Lonchura striata: one gene and its partner. The protein of the gene in region 2 interacts with the protein of the main gene of each other region in a pairwise test. Links are inferred from orthologs where the notes say so. Each region holds a gene or a part of one and is shown on either strand. Other genes may lie near its edges.

Region 1 (10,315 bases), on a different chromosome or scaffold from region 2:
GCCAGGGTCTCAAATGCTTCTGACCTGGGTCTGGAACCTCCAAAAATGCCTGAGGGACATTTTGAGTTCCGACAGGATGGGGGATGTGAGCGTCTGCTGGTGTTCAATTCCTGCAGGATGAAGCCCGGAGGGAAGCTCTGAAGCAGCGAGCAGAGCAGAGCATGCACCAAGAGGAGCCAGGCTGGGAGGAGGACGAAGGTGGGACATGTTTGGGGGCTCTGGGAGGCTTTGTGGAGAACTTGTCATGGGGTGGTGGCTCCTCCTCACTCCCACAAATCCCAACAGGCAGCTCTGATCTCTGCTCTGTGAGCAGTGGTGGCATCAGGGAGTGCCTGGGGCTGTGTCAGGTGCTTGAGGTTGGATATCAGGAAATGTTCTACCCCAGAGGGTGCTGGGCACTGATGAATAGACTTGATTCAGAAGGCTGTGAAAGTAAGACTCCCCTTTATTCAAAATACACCTCTCTTTTATACAGAGCTTTGTAAGGACCAAATCAATTCGTTTTGAAGTGAAAACAACCCAAAGCATTGGTGCAGAGTGCTTGACACACACTGCTAGAACTTAACTATAAACAACGTGAAAAACAAGAGAGATAAAGAATTATTTACATTCTTCCCCAGTTCCTTCCCAGGCTTCTGCCTGGCTAGAAATTCTCAGTTTCTTTCTTTGACTGAATCCGAGACCCACACCCCAGGGAATGGGCAGGGCCCCAAAGCTGGCAGGGCTTCAGGACAGCGCTCTCAGGGGTGCCCAGGGTGAGGTTGTTGGGGTTGGACTGGATGTTCCCAGTGGGTCCCTCCCAGCTCGGGCCATTCTGTGGAATCCAGCTCCCAGCCCAGCTGAAACATCTCTCGCTTCTCTTCTGCCTCCCTACAGAGGAGTTCTTGGGGATGTCCCCCCTGCCTTGTGCAAACATCACATTCCCAGGAGCAGCACAGAAAGAGCCCAGCTCGGAGGGAAACCCCCCAGCTGCTCCCAAGGGTCCCTCGGGGGAGAGCTGGGCTGTGCTGCCCCCAGAGCTGGTGCCAGTGGAGCAGAGCCCCTCGGAGAGCAGCGAGAGCGTGTCCCTGGTGACTCAGATTGCAAACCCTGCCCCTGTGCCTGCCACCCAGCCACAGACTGCAGCTCCTCCCGTGGGCGCCGGCCAACTCTCCCCCAGCCTGCTGGAGGCCACCTTGGAAGAGCAGAGCTCCCTGCCCAAGCCCCCAGAAGCTGCTCAGCCTTCTGCACCTGCCCAGGAATCAGCAGCATCCTTGGAGCCAGCTGGAGCAGAGCTCAGAGAGCTGGAGAGCAAAGGGCAGGGCAGGACAGAGACTCTGAGATCAGAGGAAGGACCCACAGATCTGAGAGTCTTCGAGCTCAACTCGGACAGTGGCAAATCCACCCCCTCCAACAACGGCAAGAAAGGTTTGTGTGGGGCTGGGAACCCGCCGGGAGGGGCAGCTCTGGGTTTCTGGTGCTGAGGGAGAGGAAAGGGAAAGAAATCAAAGGTCTGCTGGCTGAGCAGAGCAGCCCTTGGTCCCTGGATGCCAGGAAAGGCTGTGCTCTGTGGTGAGATCAAGAGAGAAAAAAGAGCCAATTTTATTATTTTATTATAGAATTCCAAAAGGGACAGTGGATTGGAGGGTGTCACCTCTGCCTGTCATCCCTGGGGGTGTCCCTGCTGGGACAATGACAGTCCCCATATCCAAGTCCCTCCTGTCATTCCTTATCTGCTGCATTTTCTGTGTGGCTGGAACCTGACACATCCCAGTTCTCCCAGGCCAGAGGAGAAAATATTTCAGCATCCACCTCTCCCACTGGTCCTGCACCAGCCCTGGCAGTGAGGGAAGCAAGCTCAGTCCATCCCATCTGTGTCGGGGAGCTGTTCCTGGCAATGTGGAGGCTTTCCCTCCTCAGGCAGGCTGTGGTAGCTCTGGGCCCTGGGAATTCCAGGGCTTTGGGGCCAGCTCTGGTGGCTCAGTGGGGATTTTTGTGCTTCCAGGCTCCAGCACGGATATCAGCGAGGACTGGGAAAAGGATTTTGATCTGGACATGACAGAAGAGGAGGTGCAGCTGGCGCTCTCCAAGGTGGAAGTGGCTGGGGAGGTGAGTCAGGAGAGGCAAAACTGCCCCCCAAAAAGCATCACCAAGGCCTCGGGGTGCTGGGATGAGTGTGCAGGTTTCCCAAGGGGAACAGAGCAGGCAAATCCCTGTTGTGGGAGTGTGAGGATACATCAGGTGCCCTGGGAAGGAGGAGCTGTTGAGTTACAGAAACAAACAGCTGAGAACAGCTCAGAAACAGCTCAGAAACGGATTTCCTCTTGCTTGCAGCTGGAAGATGAAGAGTGGGAAGACTGGGAATAAAGCAGCTGCTTCCAGTGTGTGTCACAGGCTCATTTCCACCATCGAATGTGAATCCAATCTCGGACCGGCTGTTCCTTTGTGTGTGACTGTGCTGGGGGTTGCAGTTCCAGGCTGGAGGAGTTCCATCCCTGCAAAAACCTGGGGGCAACTCAAGTCACCCCTTCAGATGCAGGAGGAGGAAGCAGGAGGTCGCTGGCACACAGGAGCCTGACTTCTCCATAGGTCCTAGAGACTGGCCAAGCCAAAACTGACCCTGCCGTGTTAGGGAGAGGCAGAGTGAGGGGTCCCTGGGGCCAGCTGGGCACTCAGAGCCCTGCCAGGAGTGCTGGGTGCTGCCAGGCTGCCAGCTGGCTCCTTCCTTGCTTGTGTGTGCACGTGTAACCTACAGCTGAGAGGATCCTGGACGTGGCTGTGCCTGCTCTGCAATTCCCACCTGGAAAGCAGCACCCAGGGAGGGCCTGAGGGCTGGAGGTGCTGCAGAAAAAGGCACTTGGCTCGTGGCTTTGACCCTGGAAGGAGCCAAACCCCCCTGCCAAACCCTGAGCTTCTGCCTGGCTTTTTGTCTTGGAAGCTTTTTCTCGTGGAAACTCCCGTTTCCAGCAGTTCCTCAAAGAGCCAAGGCCTGCTGCTCCCCACCTTTTGCAGCTGCACCACCTTCCTGCGCTGGGTTTTGTGTCTTTCTAGTGAAATTCTCCAGGCAAAATCCTCGTGGCTTGCTCTTACTGCAGCCCTGCTGGGCTGGCAGTGGTTTGGGTCAGCTGGGAGCAGAACCCCTCGTGTTGGTGGCCAGTTCAGCCCAGCCTGACCCACTGAGCACTTCAACCTCTGCTTGGCCAGCCTGGGGAGAAAGAAGCTCCCAAATGTGGGTGATCCCTGCTGGCAGAGGCCGTGTGTCCCCATCTGACCCCTGTGCCACCCGTGCCAGGCCCTGCAGCCACCACGAGCTTTGCTGTGCTCACTTGGGTTCCTCCTCTGCTTGCTTCACCCCCCTCAGGCCTCTTTTTGGGGGCAGTTTCCTTGTCACAACACGAGATGTTGCTGCTGCACGGTTATCCCAAGGGGACGGTGCCCTCGCTGCTCTCCCTGGCCTTGGGGGTGCTGGGGTGACACTTTGTGCTGCCCTTTTCAGGCCTGGGGGTTCCTTGCTGGGTTTGGACAACACTAAACGAGGTGCACGTGGAAGAGTTGGGGTTTTAAATTTGGGTTTTCCTTCTTTGGGGTGGCTCCTGGTGGGAGCATCCCTCTCCTGCCAAAGCCTTGTGTCCAGCAGAGCCTCAGCTTGTCCTGGCTGGGATTGTGGTGGGCAGGGGACACGGGGGACACCAGTGGGGACCTGGGGCTGAGGCTGCAGCATCCGTGTCGCTTCCTTTTCTTCTTTAGCCGAATTAACCCTTGGGTTGGTTGTGCAATATTCTCCGTTCTCGAACTATTCCACATCTCCCTGAGCCTTTTCTAGCTGGGGTGAGAAACCAGGAGCAATTCTAACAGCTGGTAGTTTTGTAACGACGACTTTCTCCAAACCTTTTGCAGTTAACAGCAATTAAAGGAGTTCTCAGAGTCTCTGCCTGTCCCGGGTGTCCTCATTTCCTCTAGGGTGGGGATGACACAATTTTCCTTTTCTCACATCTCCTTCAGGACAGGGAGAAGAACCTGTGGGAGTGTGGCCCCTGTTGATGGAGTAAAAAAGTAACTCTCCTTAAAAAGGACAAAAGTTTCCTCAATTTGGTTAAAAGACACCTCATAGGACCTTGGGGACCACCTCAAAATTAAGGATAGATGTTATGGTTTGACATTGGCGCAATGTTGGTGTTCTGGAACTAAAGAGAGTGAGTTTTTCTGGGAATTTTGTTAATCACCCCTCTGTGTTCTCAGAGGCGTGTCTACCTTTAATTGGTCAATATTTAAATTGAACTCTTCTTTCCGGGAAAATTCTTTTCCCGTGTCAAACCACGACAAGTAGACAATTGGACAGAAGCCGAAAAGATCCTCGGGGATCTGCTGGGGAATGGCCACGGGAACGGGACACGAGGGACAGCACAGAGGGGACAGGGCAGGAGAGAGCACGGGTGACAGGACAGAAGTGATGGGACACGAGTGACAGGACACGAGTGACAGAACCCGAGCGGCAGGACAGAGGTGACAAAATGCGAGGACATGAATGACAGGACAGAGGTGACAAAGCACGGGTGGCAGGACACAAGTGGCAGACAGGACACGAATGACAGGACAGAGGTGACAGGACACGGGTGAAAGGACACGGGTGGCAGGACACGAGTGACAATACATGGGTGCCAGGACAGAGGTGACAAAACATGGATGACAGGACACGGGTGGCAGGACACGGCTTACAAAACACGAGTGACAGGACACGAGTGGCAGGACATGGGTGACAAGACAGAGGTGACAAAACACGAGTGACAGGACATGAGTGGCAGGACACGAGTGACAGGACAGTGGTGACAAAACATAGGTGACAGGACACGGGTTCCAGGACAGAGGTGACAGGACACGAGTGACAGGACACAGATTACAAAACACGGGTGATAAGACACAGGTGTCAGGACACAGGTTACAAAGCACGGGTGTCAGGACACGGGTGTCAGGACACGAGTGGCAGGACACGAGTGACAGGACACGGGTGACAGGACACGGGTGTCAGGACATGGGTTCCAGGACACGGGTGGCAGGACACGAGTGGCAGGACACGGGTGCCAGGACACGGGTGCCAGGACAGAGGTGACAGGACATGGGTTACAAAACACGGGTGATAGGATACGGGTGTCAGGACACGACTTACAAAGCACGAGTGGCAGGACACGGGTGCCAGGACACGGCTTACAAAGCACGGGTGCCAGGACATGAGTGGCGGGACACGGGTGGCAGGACACGGGTGGTGGGACACGGGTGTCAGGACACGAGTGACAGGACACGGGTTACAAAACACGGGTGATAGGACACGGGTGTCAGGACACGACTTACAAAGCACGAGTGTCAGGACACGGGTGGCGGGACACGGGTGGCGGGACACGGGTGTCGGGACACGGGTGCCAGGACACGGCTTACAAAGCACGGGTGTCAGGACACGGGTGCCAGGACACGGGTGCCAGGACACGGCTTACAAAGCACGGATGTCAGGACACGGGTGTCAGGACACGGGTGTCAGGACACGAGTGGCAGGACATGGGTGGCGGGACACGGGTTACAAAGCACGAGTGGCAGGACACGAGTGGCGGGACACGGGTGGCGGGACACGGGTGGCAGGACACGGGTGGCGGGACACGGGTTACAAAGCACGAGTGGCAGGACACGAGTGGCGGGACACGGGTGGCGGGACACGGGTGGCAGGACACGGGTGGCGGGACACGGGTTACAAAGCACGAGTGGCAGGACACGGGTGTCAGGACACGGGTGGCCGCCGGGCCGCGCCGCCGGTGCAGTTCCGCCGCCGCCCGCTGGGGGCGCCCGGCGGCCGCTCCGCGCGCACAGCTTTGGCCCCGCGCGGCCGCCGTCGGGCCCGCGCCCCTCCCGGTGCCGCCATATTTTGGCCGCCGCCGCCGCCACCGGAGCCGCCGCCGCCGCGATGGGTGAGGGCCCTGAGGGGCGGGCGCGGCCCGGGCAGCTCCGGGCACGGCGAGGGGATGGCGTGGGGCCGGAGAAGCCGCCCCGAGGCCGGGCGGTGCGCGCAGCCCGCCCGCCCCGCGCCGCCGCCGCCGCCGCCCTCGCCCCTCAGCGGCGTCCCGGGCGCTCCTGAGGGCGGCGGGGCCGGCGCGGCCGCTGAGTCACGGCGGGGTCGCTGCGGGGCCTGGGGGGGTCCTCGGGGGCTCCCGGGGAGGGCGGCCCGGGGGCTCTGAGCGCTGAGGGCAGCGCCGGCCGCGCCTCCGGGGAGCTCCGGGCTGGGCGGGAGCTGCGGGGCGTGAAGGGTGAGGCAGCCCGGGACTGGGGTGAAATACCGCGGGTTTGGGGGTGCCGGGGTGAAATACCGCGGGTTTGGGGTGTCAGGGTGAAATACCCCGGTTTTGGGGGTGTTTGGGTTGAAATACCCCGGGTTTGGGGGTGTCGGGGTGAAATTCCCTGGCTTTGGGCGTTTCGGGGTGAAACAACCCGGTTTTGAGGGTGTCAAAGCGAAATACCCTGGGTTTGGAGATCCTGGGGTGAAATATCCCATTTTTGGGGGTGCCAGGGCTGCAGTGCCCGGCTTTGGGGGTGTTTGGGTTGCAGTACCCCGGGTTTGGGTGTGCCAGGGCTGTAAGACCCCGAGTTTGGGGGTGTTAGGGTGAAATACCTTGGGTTTGGGGGTGTTAGGACTGCAATGCCAGGCTTTGGGTGAAATACCCTGGGTTTTGGGGGTGCTAGGGTGAAACACCCCGGTTTTGGGGGTGCCAGGACTGCAGTGCCCGGTTTTGGGTGAAATACCCTGGTTTTAGGGGTGCCAGGGTTGCAATACCCTGGTTTTAGGGGTGCCATGGCTGCAGTGTCCAGATTTGGGTGAAATACTCTGGTTTTGGGGGTGTCAGGGTGAGATACCCCGGTTTTGGGGATGCCACGACTGCAGTGCCCGGTTTTGGGTGAAATACTCTGAGTTTGGGGGTGCTGGGGTGAAGCACCCTGGTACTGGGGGTGCCAGGGCTGCAGATTCTGGCTTTGGGTGAAATACTCTGAGTTTGGGGGTGCCAGGGCTGCAGTGCCTGGGTCCAGCTGGCGGGAGCTGTTGGAGCCCAGTTTTGGGGTGTCAGTGCTGTCACTTTGGGGTGTCAGCTCTCTCTGCTCCATTTTCATCCTCCTGCAGCTGCTGGGGCTCAGTCCTGAGCTCCCCCAGAGCTCAGGGGTTCAGGTGAGAAATAAAAATAATATTTCTGAAATAAAAATCCAGCTCCAGCCCTCCGTGTCACTGGGCTGTCCCAAATAAATCCCAGCTCAGAGTTACCCCTTCCAAAAGTTTTTTAAAAATTCCTTTTATTTATTGAATTCCTTTAATTCCTGCAGATTTTTGGTTTGATGTGCCTGATGTGGGAGGTCCCAGCTCAGGGAGGAGGATTTTATTTTTTAATTTTTCTTTAATTTTTTTTTTTTTGAGGATTCCTATAAGAAGACAGAGTTTGAAAAGATGAGTTGGAAAAGCCCAGCCTTGTAGCAGCCGTGTTTTCATTAAAATTGAGTGAGGATCTTCTGGAAATAAAGATTAAAATGTTTCCATTTTCCACCTGCAATGTTGTCTTTTAACCAGGGCTGCTTCAGAAGCTTCATGGCTTTAAAGCGGCGAGTTTAAGTTGGATATTGAGAATAAATTTTTTCCTGTGAGGGGCTGGGATGGATTTCCCAGAGAAGCTGTGGCTGGAATTACCCCAAGCCAGGTTGGAAAGGGCTTGGAGCAGCCTGGGATGGTGGAAGTTTTCATCTCCTTCCAAACCAGGGATTCAGTGAACCTTCAAAAATACTCTGTGATCATTTAAAAATGATCATTTAAAATTTATTTCACTTATCATGATCTCACCAGGAGCTTTTCTGCCTCCTGAGGTGAAGTCAGTGACCAGTCTGTGTGTGGCTGCTGCACCTCCCAGCCCTGCACAGCTCGGAAATTTTAATTTATGGCTTCAGATATAAAACCTGGGCTGGCAGCTCTGAGGAGAAAAATGTCCTGGGGCCTGGTGGGAATGGCTGGAAATTCTTGGGGCTGTTTTATGTGGAGCTGAGAAGTTTGTGCACAGGAGCTTCCCCTTCTTCCCACCCCTGTTAGAGCCGAATATCCTCCCTGTTTGAATTATCCTCCTGTAACTTTATTATTTTTAAACCAGCTAAGGTTGAGTGGATTTTTTTTTTCATGGTTTTAAATCATGATGCTGTTGGAAATTGTCATTTGCATGGCAAAGGAGGAATGAACTGATGACATCTTTAAATGCCTTTTTTTAGTGCTGCTTAACCCGTGGAGCAGCATTAATGCTCAATTCTCAATAAAACCCCCGTTAATGCTCAATTCTCAATAAAACTCCCGTGGCTGATGAATTTTACAGTTAATTGGCTGGTTTGCTTTGTTTGCTTTAGCTCAGCAGAGCAAACATGAACTTTGTCAAGGGGGAGAGTTTGATTATTAAAATCCTGTGAGAGTGAAAGTCCTGATTCCTTCAGGCTGCTGAGGTCCAGGTAAATCTGCTTAGCAAATCACACAGCCCTGTTTGTTTGTGAGGCAAAGCACGTGTTGGAAGGGATGGATTTATTGGAATTTCATATCCCTCTCTAATTATCTCTGAATGTTTCTGGTTGGTTTTAATTGGAACTCTCCTAGGTCGAGTTTGAGTGGATTCAGTTCAAGTTTTTCCCTGGTTTTGGGATTGTTCTCAGCTAACTCTTGTGCTTGATCAGTCCATTTTTTAAAGGAAATCAGAATGGATAAACCAGCTTGAAGAGGACTTAAAGCCCTCAAATTTTGGGCTGAAAAGATCAAAATGAGGAGCAGGAAGCATTGAGAACTGCCCTGAGGAGTTGCTGCCTTCTTTTTCCAGCAGGGCAGGGACATTCCAAAAGGATTCCTAATCCTGTTTGAACCCTGGGGAATGGCAAACGCTGCCTGCCAGTGAATTTCCCCCCAAAGAGAAATTTTCCCCTGTCCCTTCCCCCTCGCAGCGCTGCACATTCCAGCGGTGATCTCACATCCCTGGCTGGGAAACGGGGATTTACCGGCACGGCAGCCCGGGACAACCGGGACAGGCACGGGGACAGCCCGGGACAGGCACGGGGACACGGCCACCCCCTCCAGGACACCTCTGCAGGAATTTTGTGCTGCCAAACACCCCTGGGAGAACAAACCAGACCTGCCCCGGTGTCACACAGCAGAATTTTGCTGCTTTTATAGCAGCTGGGGGAATTCCAGAGTTGTAGGCACAGCCAGAGTTGGGATTATTTGACAGGATTTTTTTTTTTTGTTTAGTTGCTCTACTGTTTAGCTTCATTTCTTGTGTCTTCTGAAGTAAAAAAGTGAATTTTTTCCCTTTTTATTTTTTCTCTTAATTTGTTGCAAAACTATTGGTGACAGTAAAAAAAAAAAAAGTGGTTTTAACTGATTTCTGCTAGCAGCTCAGAGCTGTTCTTTTACACATTAATTCAACTATTTTATGTAGTTATTAATTTGATTTCTATTTAAATAGTACAGATGATTTAGTCTTCTTTTTGTAGGGTTTCAATTTACTTAATAAAGTTGTCCTGGACATTTTTTTTTTTTTTCTAGAAGAGTCCTCTGGAGATGTTAATGATGGGAGAATCCTCTGGGATTTCAGGGAATTGGAGATATATGAGGAATGAGGTGAAACTCAGCAGTTCGCTCCATTTATTTTGTTGCAATTTGTCTAATTTAGAGGAGTTTAAATTATAAATCACCAACTTTATCCCCATCCCAGGGAAAAGTTGGGTGGGAAGGGCCTTTGGAGGTCACCTGAGAGCTGGGAACGTCCCCAGCAGGCACCAAGTGGCATTTTAGTGCTGCTGAAGTTCCTCAAGTGTATTTATTTACACTTGCATAATTCCCCAAGCAGGGAACAGCTGTCAGCCCTGCGAGCGTCCAGAGCCACCTTTGGAAGATTCCCTGTGGAATATTCCCTGTGGGAAGGGACATTTGGGCTCCAAAAAGAGCCCTGGCCCTGACTCAGCAGCACAAATCCTGCAGTGACTCAGCTCCCAGGGTTTAATCAGCAGTGAGGAAAACGTTGGAAGCAAATATTGCATGTTTTACAGAAAATTGGGAAGAGGCAGGCTTGGATTCCCCATCCAGGAGCTGTTAGAGTAACAGCTCTGGAATTACATTTTCCTGCTGTGGCTTGTGCTGGATTTACAGGGATTTGAGTGCCCTGCTGAGCCTTCAAAGTCAAACTTTCACCCCGTTCTTCCTTTCTTTTAAGTGGGAAATACCTTCTCATCCTCCTATTTATGAGTGTGGCAACTTGGGCTCGTAATTCTTTGACAGCTGGATGAATTTTTTTCC
Region 2 (9,818 bases):
GACAGAACTAATATTCCTCAGGGAATTCCAAAGCATGACAGCTCAGCATGCCAAAGTATTTCAAATGTCTTAAAATGTAGGTATAACTGTAACAGGTAAGATTCTTGTAAGACTGTCTGCAACACCAGATGTACAAGAAGAAAAGATGAAGACTTTAGCTATGCAGCATGTATTTTTTTGTTTAAATTTAAATTGGGACATGTTACCAGATGCTTTATGCCTTTTACAGACTGCCTTATGCGAGTGCCTTCCATTTCCATCTGTGCCTAGAAAACGTTTACCTCCAGTATTAGAAATATTAATTTAGTTGCCACCTCTTTAAATTGCATGTGAAAACTTGTCCCTCCAGCACTCCAAAATAATAAGAAATGTTACAAAGAGGTAGATAGTCTCAAAACCTTAAAACACTACTACAACATGGTCTAAATTTGTTTTTTCACTGCTAAAATAACCCTACAAGTTTTATGACTGAAGGTGTTGATAAATATGTATGCTTATTTAAAACTTACCAAATGCTGATTGTGTTTCAGAGGTGCTCTTCAAACTGCTGAAAGGAGGAGTACTAGAGACACTACTGCTTCCATTAGACAGCCCTTCCAAAGGCTTTATTCCTGCACCATTCCCGAATCCACTGAAGCCACCTCCTCCTTTCCCAGAAGGCAATACAAAGCCTTTAAACCCTTTAAAAGCTCCTCCACTTTCAGACTGGGGAGAAAAAAAAAAGAGAGACAGTTACATACATCTTCTCCATGCAAATCCTGTCCCCACTTAATATTGTTGATATCCTTGGTTTGTTTTTCCCTAGTTCAGCATGTCATTCCATGCATTACTGTGTCAGCTACGCAAACAAAATTAACAGCTTCCTTATGACACACAGTGCTTCTGTTTTTAACAGACTCAGATGTTTGGTATGAAAATAAACTGGATCTAGGATGTGGATACATGGAAGTTGCTCAGAGCTGTGGATGTGTTTGACTGCCTATTAGACATTCACAGTATCTTGTTTTCTTTAACTACACAGGATTATGTAATTTCAGGTTTATTTTCAACAACTTTGAGCATTTACAATGGCAGTCAAGAGCCCAATACTTTAATCCACTCATCACTCTGGAAACACCTGTGAAACCTCTTCTGATTTACCCAAAATACTCCAATGTGACTGATGGAAGATGCAAAGACAAACCGTACTTGACCACAAAATATCTGTATCTGCAAACTTTTCATTACCCAGTTCTAATCACTGTCTTTGCAACCGTATTATTTTATGGTATAGTTTCTTACGTGTTTCTAAAAGACAAAGTACAATTAACATGCAAATAAAGAACTGCAATTTTAAGGCCTTTGGAGGTCATGAACTTTTACCACTCAAAGTGAACTTTCAGTGTCTCTGGAAAACCATCAGATGAGAACTGCTTCTGAGTTTCATCTGCTTTTGAAGAAATGGCAAAGCTTGTCCATTCCAGTATCTGACCTTGTGGTTATGGGTCTCCAGCACAGTCCTCTGCTTCACATTCCTAGGTAAGCATTTTTATTATGTTTCTCTCTGATCAGTCCCACCTTTCTCTCTGAATATTCCAGTTAAACTGCTGTCTTTTTCACTGAAGCATTCTGCTTACTCCATGTAGGAACATCAGCAAGTTTACCTTTCTGTAAATATTTCACAAAGTTTCTTACACAACTTTAGCTGTCCTGTCATCTCTTCTGCATTTTAGATTTTGTCCAGCCTGTTGTCCTGGTTTTGGTTGGGATAGAGTTAATTTTCTCCCTAGTAGCTGGTACAGTGGTGTGGTTTGAATTCAGGGCGAGAAGAATGTTGATAACACAAGGATGTTTTAGTTGGTGCTGAGCAGTGCTCACTGCAATCAAGGGCTTATCAATGTCTCATGCTCTGCCAGCAAGCAGGACAGAAGGGGTTGAGAGGGAGCATGGCCAGGACAGTGACCTGAACACAGAATGTCATGGCCAGCACGGAAACTGGGAGGGGCGGTGGCTGGGAGCAGCTGATTGCTGCTTGGGCATGGGATGAGGTCAGTGGGTAGTGAGCAACTATCCTGAGCATCACTGCTTTTTCTGGGTTTATTTCTTTCCCTTTTTTTGGTTCCCTTATCATCATGATCATTATATTTCAATCACTAAACTGTCCTTATCTCAACCCAGGCTTTCACCCTTTTTTCCATTCTCCTCCTCATCCCACTAGGAGGAAAAGTGAGGGGCTGCATGGTCCTTAGCTAGCTGTCAGCTGGAGCTGAAGTATACCAGCCCTTCTACCAGCTCTAACAGCCTGCTTCCAGTCTCCTGACTACTTCTACAACCCATCTGATCCCCTTTCTCAGCCTGTTCTATTTTTCCTATTCCATTTGCCCCTGAATCTCTCCTGCTCAAGTTGTATTTATGTTTTGTATCACCTCCTTTCAATACAATCCTTTATTTAACTGTATCCTCTACCACATTTGTGGCTAAAACTACTCAAGGCATTAGTGAGCTAAAACAGCTTCCTCATTTACAGTGCTTGGACTGAAGAAGGAAAATCAAAAGCATAGGAGAAGGCTCTCTAGCTCCTAACTGTGCCTAGTCCCACCAAGTCCTAAAGCAATCTGTGTAACACATAAAGCTCCAAGCCTATTTCTAACATGATGCATACCCTGTTCAAAGGATGTCTGGGAAAAAAATATACACAACAAAGCATTTCTCAAGGATTCCTGAAAGGACAACAATTTGGCTGGACTGGGATAAGGCTTTCACAGGGACTAAACCTGTAACAAAGGCCAGCTTCCTTTCAATTTTCAATTCGCTAGTGCAAAGAGTAGATAGCACTAAAGCTCTTGACAGGGAGGGAGAAAAAAAAAGTAGCAGCATTCTTAACAAAATACACGTTTCTCATTCTCAGAGCAGCTTAGTATTTGGGTATTTACTAACATAGCTTCTGAGACATCCCCCAGCCCTCCAGTATGGATAACTAATAACTTTGCATTTCCATACTTCCATCTCTACAAAAAATGCAAGTAAAGCAGTAAAAACGTTGTTTTACCCATTTGCATAAAACACTGTGCCTGAAACACTCTTTATTTTTACTTCACAAATATGCAAGAACACCCTGCTCACCTAGTCAAACTAGTATTACCCTTTTTTTGCCTTAGTCTTATTCTTAGCATGGAACAGTAAAGCCAAAGTTCATGTGCACATATGACCCGGTGAGTCAAAATGATAACTTTACTCAGCATCACTACAAACCCAAGGAAGTAAAACCCTGAGTGTGGTGTTGTGTTTTGTAACTGAGTAAAAGCCCAGCACTCATGCTCAGTGACTACATTACCTCTGACCCAACATTTCGGCGCTTTGCTTTTTTAATAGCTCTGTTCTTCAGGACCTCTTCACTTGCCACAGAGAATGTTCCCACCTTGAAGAGGAAGTTATGGAATCATTAGTGGAATATTCAAAATACACAACATGAAGGGATGGCCAAGATCAGGTTTTGAACACAACTCTAACACTGCTACCAAACAAACAAGGGGAGAAGTTAAAATGCAGCACTGTCATCGGCTTACCAGCTACCTGCAGGTGAGTTGATACTTGGAAAACTCTTTCTGGTTCTGCACTACATTTCTCTTTGTGCTATTTCCATTTTATTAAAACAAATAATGTAAGTTTTGTTTTGCTTTTTTAAAACACAGCTCTAAGATCTCTCTGCTGAAGGGAATCTGTCAGTAATCCACAGTTTGGAACAGTTATATGGAGATGTGGGCTCTAAGGCAACCTCCAGCAGCCTGCTGTAGTTCAAACACTAGCAAAGACAGCTAATGGCTCAGTACCACCCTGCAACAAATGAGGAAATTAAGTTTTCTTATATTCAAATTCCTGGAAGAGTTAGTTTTCTTTTTTACATTTACAGGCCTAAGCGTTTAATACTTTTAGTTGGACAAAAACTAAACCAGTTTGTTTAAATATGAGCCATAAGGGAAGTATGAGACATTAAAGGTGAAAATGTCTTTTTACAATTAGGTGAAACATACCACTCAACTATTTGCCTAATTCCTCCGGCTGTGTGGAGAAATTCAGCTAAAATTAACATAGCTCTAAAATCAGCTATTACTGACCCTCAAAAAATATACTGGAGGCATACAGAGCATTTATCTCCAGAAATCAAATCTGCTTTTAAAGAGTCCAAAAGCATTTTAACAAGCCTGGGGTTCCCTCTAAAAATATTAAGTTCCTTTCTCCAGAACCACTGACGAAATTTTTACTCTTAAAAGCTGTTTTGCTATATGGTCTGCATAACTGGAAGCTTTATAGAAATAATTTTTTAAAAATCCACTTCTATAAAATTATCTTTAATTGCTAAACTTTTAACCAGTTCTACTGTAGGTTTTATGCACAAGATACACAACAAATGTAAACAGCTACTAGCGGGGAACTAATTTGTATTTTACCTCTTCAGCTTCATCCTCTTGGTCCCAGTTTCGGTCAGTCAGTTCCTTTTCAGCAATTCTCTTTGCCATTTTTCCACACTTGTTGGGGAGAAACAAAAAATCCTAGAAAGAATTGCACAGAAATTAAATTCTAAGTGGCAGTGATCTTCAATTTGTATTCTTAGAACAAAAAAACAGGAACTGCAGTTCATATAGAAGCAAGTCAAGATTGGAATGACAACTGAAAACCAAGTGTTGTGGCAAAAACAGCCAACAGCACTTGAGATTCAAGTTGTGGTGATCAGCCATATTCAATCTTAAAGAACAACAGAAATGTACAGTGCAGTTATGGGATAAATATTATTTGGCAGATGGAAAAATTCCTTTCGGAACCATAACTCATATACTCGTATTCTGAAGGGCTACAAAAACCCCAAAGCTGTGGTTAAAACATTCCATATTCCACTCCACATTGCCACCTCAGGATACCTATGTAAGCAGCAAGAAAAAAGGGAGTTGCTTTATAACATCTGAAATAAATACTAATGAGGACCCACTGAATCAGCTGAGCAGAGAGCTTGGTTAAGACCGAAGACAATGCTCTCCTTTAAAAAATTGGACTGGTTGTCCATTACTAATTTGAAAAAAAAATTAAATAAATGAGATTGGCTTTCCTACAAAGGACACATAAGTCATGCCATGGATTTTACAGCAATTACTGTAAGCAAAGAAATCATGATTTTGCTGGTTATCTCTGTGATGTAAAGCAAAATCAGCTTTGCAGAAGGAATGTCTGTAACTGTTCTCAGTCCCATTTTACTAACGTATAACTTATGAGCTGTGTACAAAACCAGAAAAAGAAAACATGGTAGCTGGATTCAGTCTAAAAAACCGGGCAAGCAATCACTGTACAGGAATTTTATGTGAAAAAAGATGTATTTCACTAACTATGGTTATATCTTCTGATACTAAATGTGTGTAAACTTACCAAAGGAAATATGTAGTTTTGTTGCAATTTAAATCTCAAACAAGCACAAAAATTAAAACTCTTCCAAAACCCCCTTGGGTTTGTGATTAAGACCTGCCCAGAAAAAAAAGACAAAAAAAAAAAAAAAAAAAAAAAAAAAAAAACCACAAATAGCTGAATTTCAGAGCCAGAAATTGTAACAATATATTGTTACAAGGCATCTTGTTTATATATTGAAACATTTTAGAGCAGCAAATCCAGAAGGACAGCAGTCTTGGGAGATGATACATCCAAGTCCTAAATTTTGTCTGACATATATCACAAATAAGGTCAAGTTACTAGAGCTTCTGGAAGTAGAGGGACAAAGATTGGCTTGTGTATACATATTTAAATGCCCTGATCCACTCTGTCCTGAAAGTAGACATCCTTGCCTGATAACCCCTGGGAGATCATTTCAATCTAACCCACTGAAAAGCTAAAAACAAGTTATTTTAAAGTCACCTTTATTTAAATTATTGTTTCATTATATAATTTTTATATAGAATGTGTTAAATTATGTAATACATTTTAATTTTTAAGTTATAATAAATAAAGGTATTCTGTATATATATGCTGCGTATATTCATATTATGTATATATACTATATATTATACTATAATATACTATAGTATACTATATTATATTAGTATATAATATACTATAATATAATTCATATTATATATAATATACTATATACTATAATATAATTTAAATATATTAGTTTCATTATTACATTAAATATTTGAATTATTGAAAGAGCACATTAACTACAGAGCCTGTCCCCCGCCAAAAGAGAGAAAACCTTGTCTATGTAAGCTCCAGATTCTCTGCACCCACTGGTGTTTGCACAGTTTCTCTTTAAAAGCATTGTAGAGGATCTAACGTGACTCTAACAGAGAACTTGAAGTGAATTCTATCCCGTGAAACAAGAACCAGCACAAACCTACATCTGGTTGGTGTTCACAAACTTCATGAAGCTTTCGGAGCACGTGTTCTGAACAGGCTGACATAGAAGTATTTTGAGAAACGTATCGAATAATCACGGAATATCCCGAGTTGGGAGGGACCCACAAGGATCACTGAGCCCAGCCCCTGGCCCCGCACAGACACCCCAACAATCCCACCCTGTGCATCCCTGAGTGTTGTCCAAACGCTCCCGGAGCTCTGGCAGCCTTGGGCAGTGCCCATTCCCTGGGGAGCCTGGGCAGTGCCAACACGCTCTGCGGGAACAACCTTTCCCGATATCCACCCTGACTCCTCTTCGATTACCAATCACGCTCAAAAACATTTCTGAACACGTTTAAAAACAACGCAGCGCAGCCGCGCTGCTGACCTGCAGAGATAACAACACCCAGCAGCTTCATAGCCTGTTTACCGCTCTCTAGCCAGGCTCGGCGGTCACCCGGGCAGCGAGGCCCGGAGCCGGCGGGGCCGGTGTCCGTGCGGGTCCCGGGATCCCGGAGCCGGCTGCGGGCCCGGCGGGAGGAAGCGGAAGCCACCGCGGATCCGCCGTTCCGCTGCGGCTCCCGGCGCCGCTCGCCCCGTGCCGGCCGCGCCCCGCCCGCTCGCCGCACCGCGCAGCGCTCCGCGCCTTCCGGACCGCAGCGACCCCCGCGCCACTCACTCGCTCGCTCGGGGCTCTCCCGCGGGAGGCGGGGTGTCCGCAGAGGCTGCACGGCCCGGTGCCGCCGGCCCGGCCGCTCGGTGCCGCCGGCACACGCGGGGCTCGCCGCCGCTGCTGCCGCCGCGGCCCTGAGCGGGAAGGCCGCGCCCGCCGCCGGCCCGCGCACCGCGCGTGCGCCCGCCGCGGCCGGCCGCTGCAGTACCGCCGGCGGCCGCGGGGGGCGCCGCCGAGGCGCGTGTGGCTTCCGCCGCCGGCCGCGCTCTGCGCAGGTCCTGCCGGGGCCGCCGGGAGAAATCGGATGTTAGAAGGAAATCTTCATTCTCTGCTTTTAACTGCGTCTTTGAGTGCCGCCTTTTCGTGCTGGCGAGGTACCGGTGCGTCCTCGGCCAGCAGCCTTTTGTGTAAAATAGTCATACAGTTTGGTGGCTGCCCGCAGACATTTCCGCCCCCACGCACATGCTGATAAAAAAAGTTCCTCGCCTATTTATACATTTTTATCAAATATTCCCTGGTTCTGGATTCTATAATTAATCATTGTGAAAAAATGTTTTATAATTGGATTTTCACAGAAGTTACAATGAATATTATATGTGTAATGTTAGAAAGTTAAGCTGTATTAATTCCCTTACGTAGTGTGTTAAATGTAGTTTTAGGTTCCAACAGAACGTTAAAATAGACACTATGTATGTGGGGGAAGTTGTTTTTTGGTTTTTTTAGGGATGAGATACTCGATTCGAGGAACACCTAAATCGTCCAAGAGAAGATAAATCTATTGTTTTCTCATCAGAAGAAGCGAATTTCTTCAGGCCTTGCTCAGACTCGAAAACACCACGGAGATTAAAGGAAACAACATACAACAGACAGAGTTTCTTGTTTAAAATAGAATGTATGCATAACCATAAAGATGTATGAATATGCAACAAGTGTATTGTTTTGAGGTTATTCCTTTATTCACAAGTCATGCTTTTCATGACTTAGTGTCTGAGAGCATCCAGACATCCATAATTCTTTGCCTTTTATTGTCTTGTAATTGTCCTAACTCTAAACTTTTATTACTTTAATTGTATTACTATATTTATAACCATTTTATTATTATTAAACTTTAAAAATTTTTAAAAACCAAGTGATTGGCGTTTTTCACATACATTTTTATCAAATAGCCTCTGGTTCTGAATTCTGTAATTCATCATTTTTTGTGGAAAAACTCTGATCACTTGTTTTTATAAAATCTTTTATAAAGTCATAAAATAGTTATTGAAAATAGTAATAAAATCAGAATAATAAAAATTTGGACAATGAGGATTAGAACGCTACGAGACAATTAAAAACAAAGCATTAAGGATGTCTGGATGTTTTTGGGCACTGAGCTGCCAAAACCATGCCTTGTGAACAGAGGAATAACCCTTACAAGTAACAGCCTGTTGCATATTCATATATCTCATACATTATGTATAAATTCTTTGCAAATTAAGAATTTTTTCTGCTTTTTGTCAGCTTCTTCCCCTTAATCCTGGTGGTTCCATAAAGAGGGAGAGAAGGTGGAAAAATGTTTTTTCCAGTAAGGAGCCAGTACCTCTTTATGTGCCCTGTCGCTGTTATCTCTGCAAAGAGTTTCTTAATTATCTTCTCCCTTTTCTTGAGCTAGTAAAAAAAAAAAATCTTACATCATAGTTTCTATATTAGCATTATGTTATAACCTAGAGCTATATTTAACACAATACTTAAGAGAATTAATACAGCATAACTAACATTACACATATAATATTCATTTTAATATTTGCAAAGAGTCAAGAACGAGTATCTCATTCTTTTAAAGAAAACTCCACATACATGGTTTCTATTTTAACTACAAAACTACATTTAACATACTATTAAAATGTTAATACAGCACTTCTAATCAATATAGTATAATACGTATAGTATTGAATTTAATATTTGCGAAAAGCCAATCATAAAAAGTGCATTTTTCAGATATCATGTTGAAATGTAAGAAGCAGGAAAATAAAAAGGTCTTCTTTATTAAAATACATTTTTTATTTAACTAAACATTTTCTCCACTGTTTGCACATTTTCGTCCAGAAGTGTAGCTTTTTTCATTGCTTTATCTGTCAACTTTTATTTATTTTAAGTAGGGCACTTGCAGTGCTGAAGGGAAAGGCTATTTGTAAAATGTTCTTTCAATAAGAAATAAGGAGTTTTCCAGGGTCACTTAATAGGATTCCAGGCATTTCCCCTATCACAACCACCCTACTCCAAAGAGTAACTTTTTCCTTGCTATCAGATAAATGCAAAATTTGAGAGAGTTTATATAATGTATATTTATGAAACTGGATCTTTCCATTGCTCTTCAAACACCAGCCAGGAAGAAAGTCTGGTATTTGCTTTGCTCAGTTTGCAGCCATTGCATTTGTCCATCTCAATAATCAGCTACACTGTGAACACACTCTGTTTGAATTAGGGATAATTAAGATAAGGTCTGCTGCACAATCTGCCACCTGTTTCTCTCGCCATCATTCACACAGGTGAGGCCACTTCTGTGGCTCTGTAAATAGAAGGTGATTCCACTGCCTTTTCCCAGGAGATGGGAGAAACTCTTCTGGCAGCCAAGCTGGCTGGAGAGTCAACACGGTGAGTATAGCATTATAATAACTGTCTGAAATGAGAATTATAAACTGCAGAATTCTTTAGAAAAGTAGAGCAAACATTTTTTAGAAAATAACTTTGAAATAAATGTTAAAGTGAGGGCTCTAAGGAGATTTTCATTTAAGGGTGCTACATTTGA

What was found.
Region 1: the proteins of NUP50 (region 2) and KPNA6 interact in binary tests that used the Homo sapiens proteins (3 or more experiments, as listed by UniProt). The two-hybrid records come from large-scale screens. The link is inferred for Lonchura striata from reciprocal best matches to the Homo sapiens genes NUP50 and KPNA6.

The regions. Positions count from the first base shown.
Region 1 is NC_134628.1:973,052-983,366, forward strand, and holds the start of KPNA6 (importin subunit alpha-7), read left to right. Parts: upstream 1-5,863; 5' UTR 5,864-5,926; coding exon 5,927-5,930; intron 5,931-10,315. Other genes in the region: BSDC1 (BSD domain-containing protein 1), read left to right, coding at 117-198, 877-1,407, 1,985-2,088, 2,314-2,346. UniProt on the Homo sapiens protein: Functions in nuclear protein import as an adapter protein for nuclear receptor KPNB1. Binds specifically and directly to substrates containing either a simple or bipartite NLS motif.
Region 2 is NC_134607.1:5,816,440-5,826,257, forward strand, and holds the start of NUP50 (nuclear pore complex protein Nup50), read right to left. Parts: upstream 4,524-9,818; 5' UTR 4,497-4,523; coding exon 4,428-4,496; exon of another isoform or gene 3,398-4,427; coding exon 3,314-3,397; intron 1,519-3,313; exon of another isoform or gene 706-1,518; coding exon 510-705; intron 1-509. UniProt on the Homo sapiens protein: Component of the nuclear pore complex that has a direct role in nuclear protein import. Actively displaces NLSs from importin-alpha, and facilitates disassembly of the importin-alpha:beta-cargo complex and importin recycling.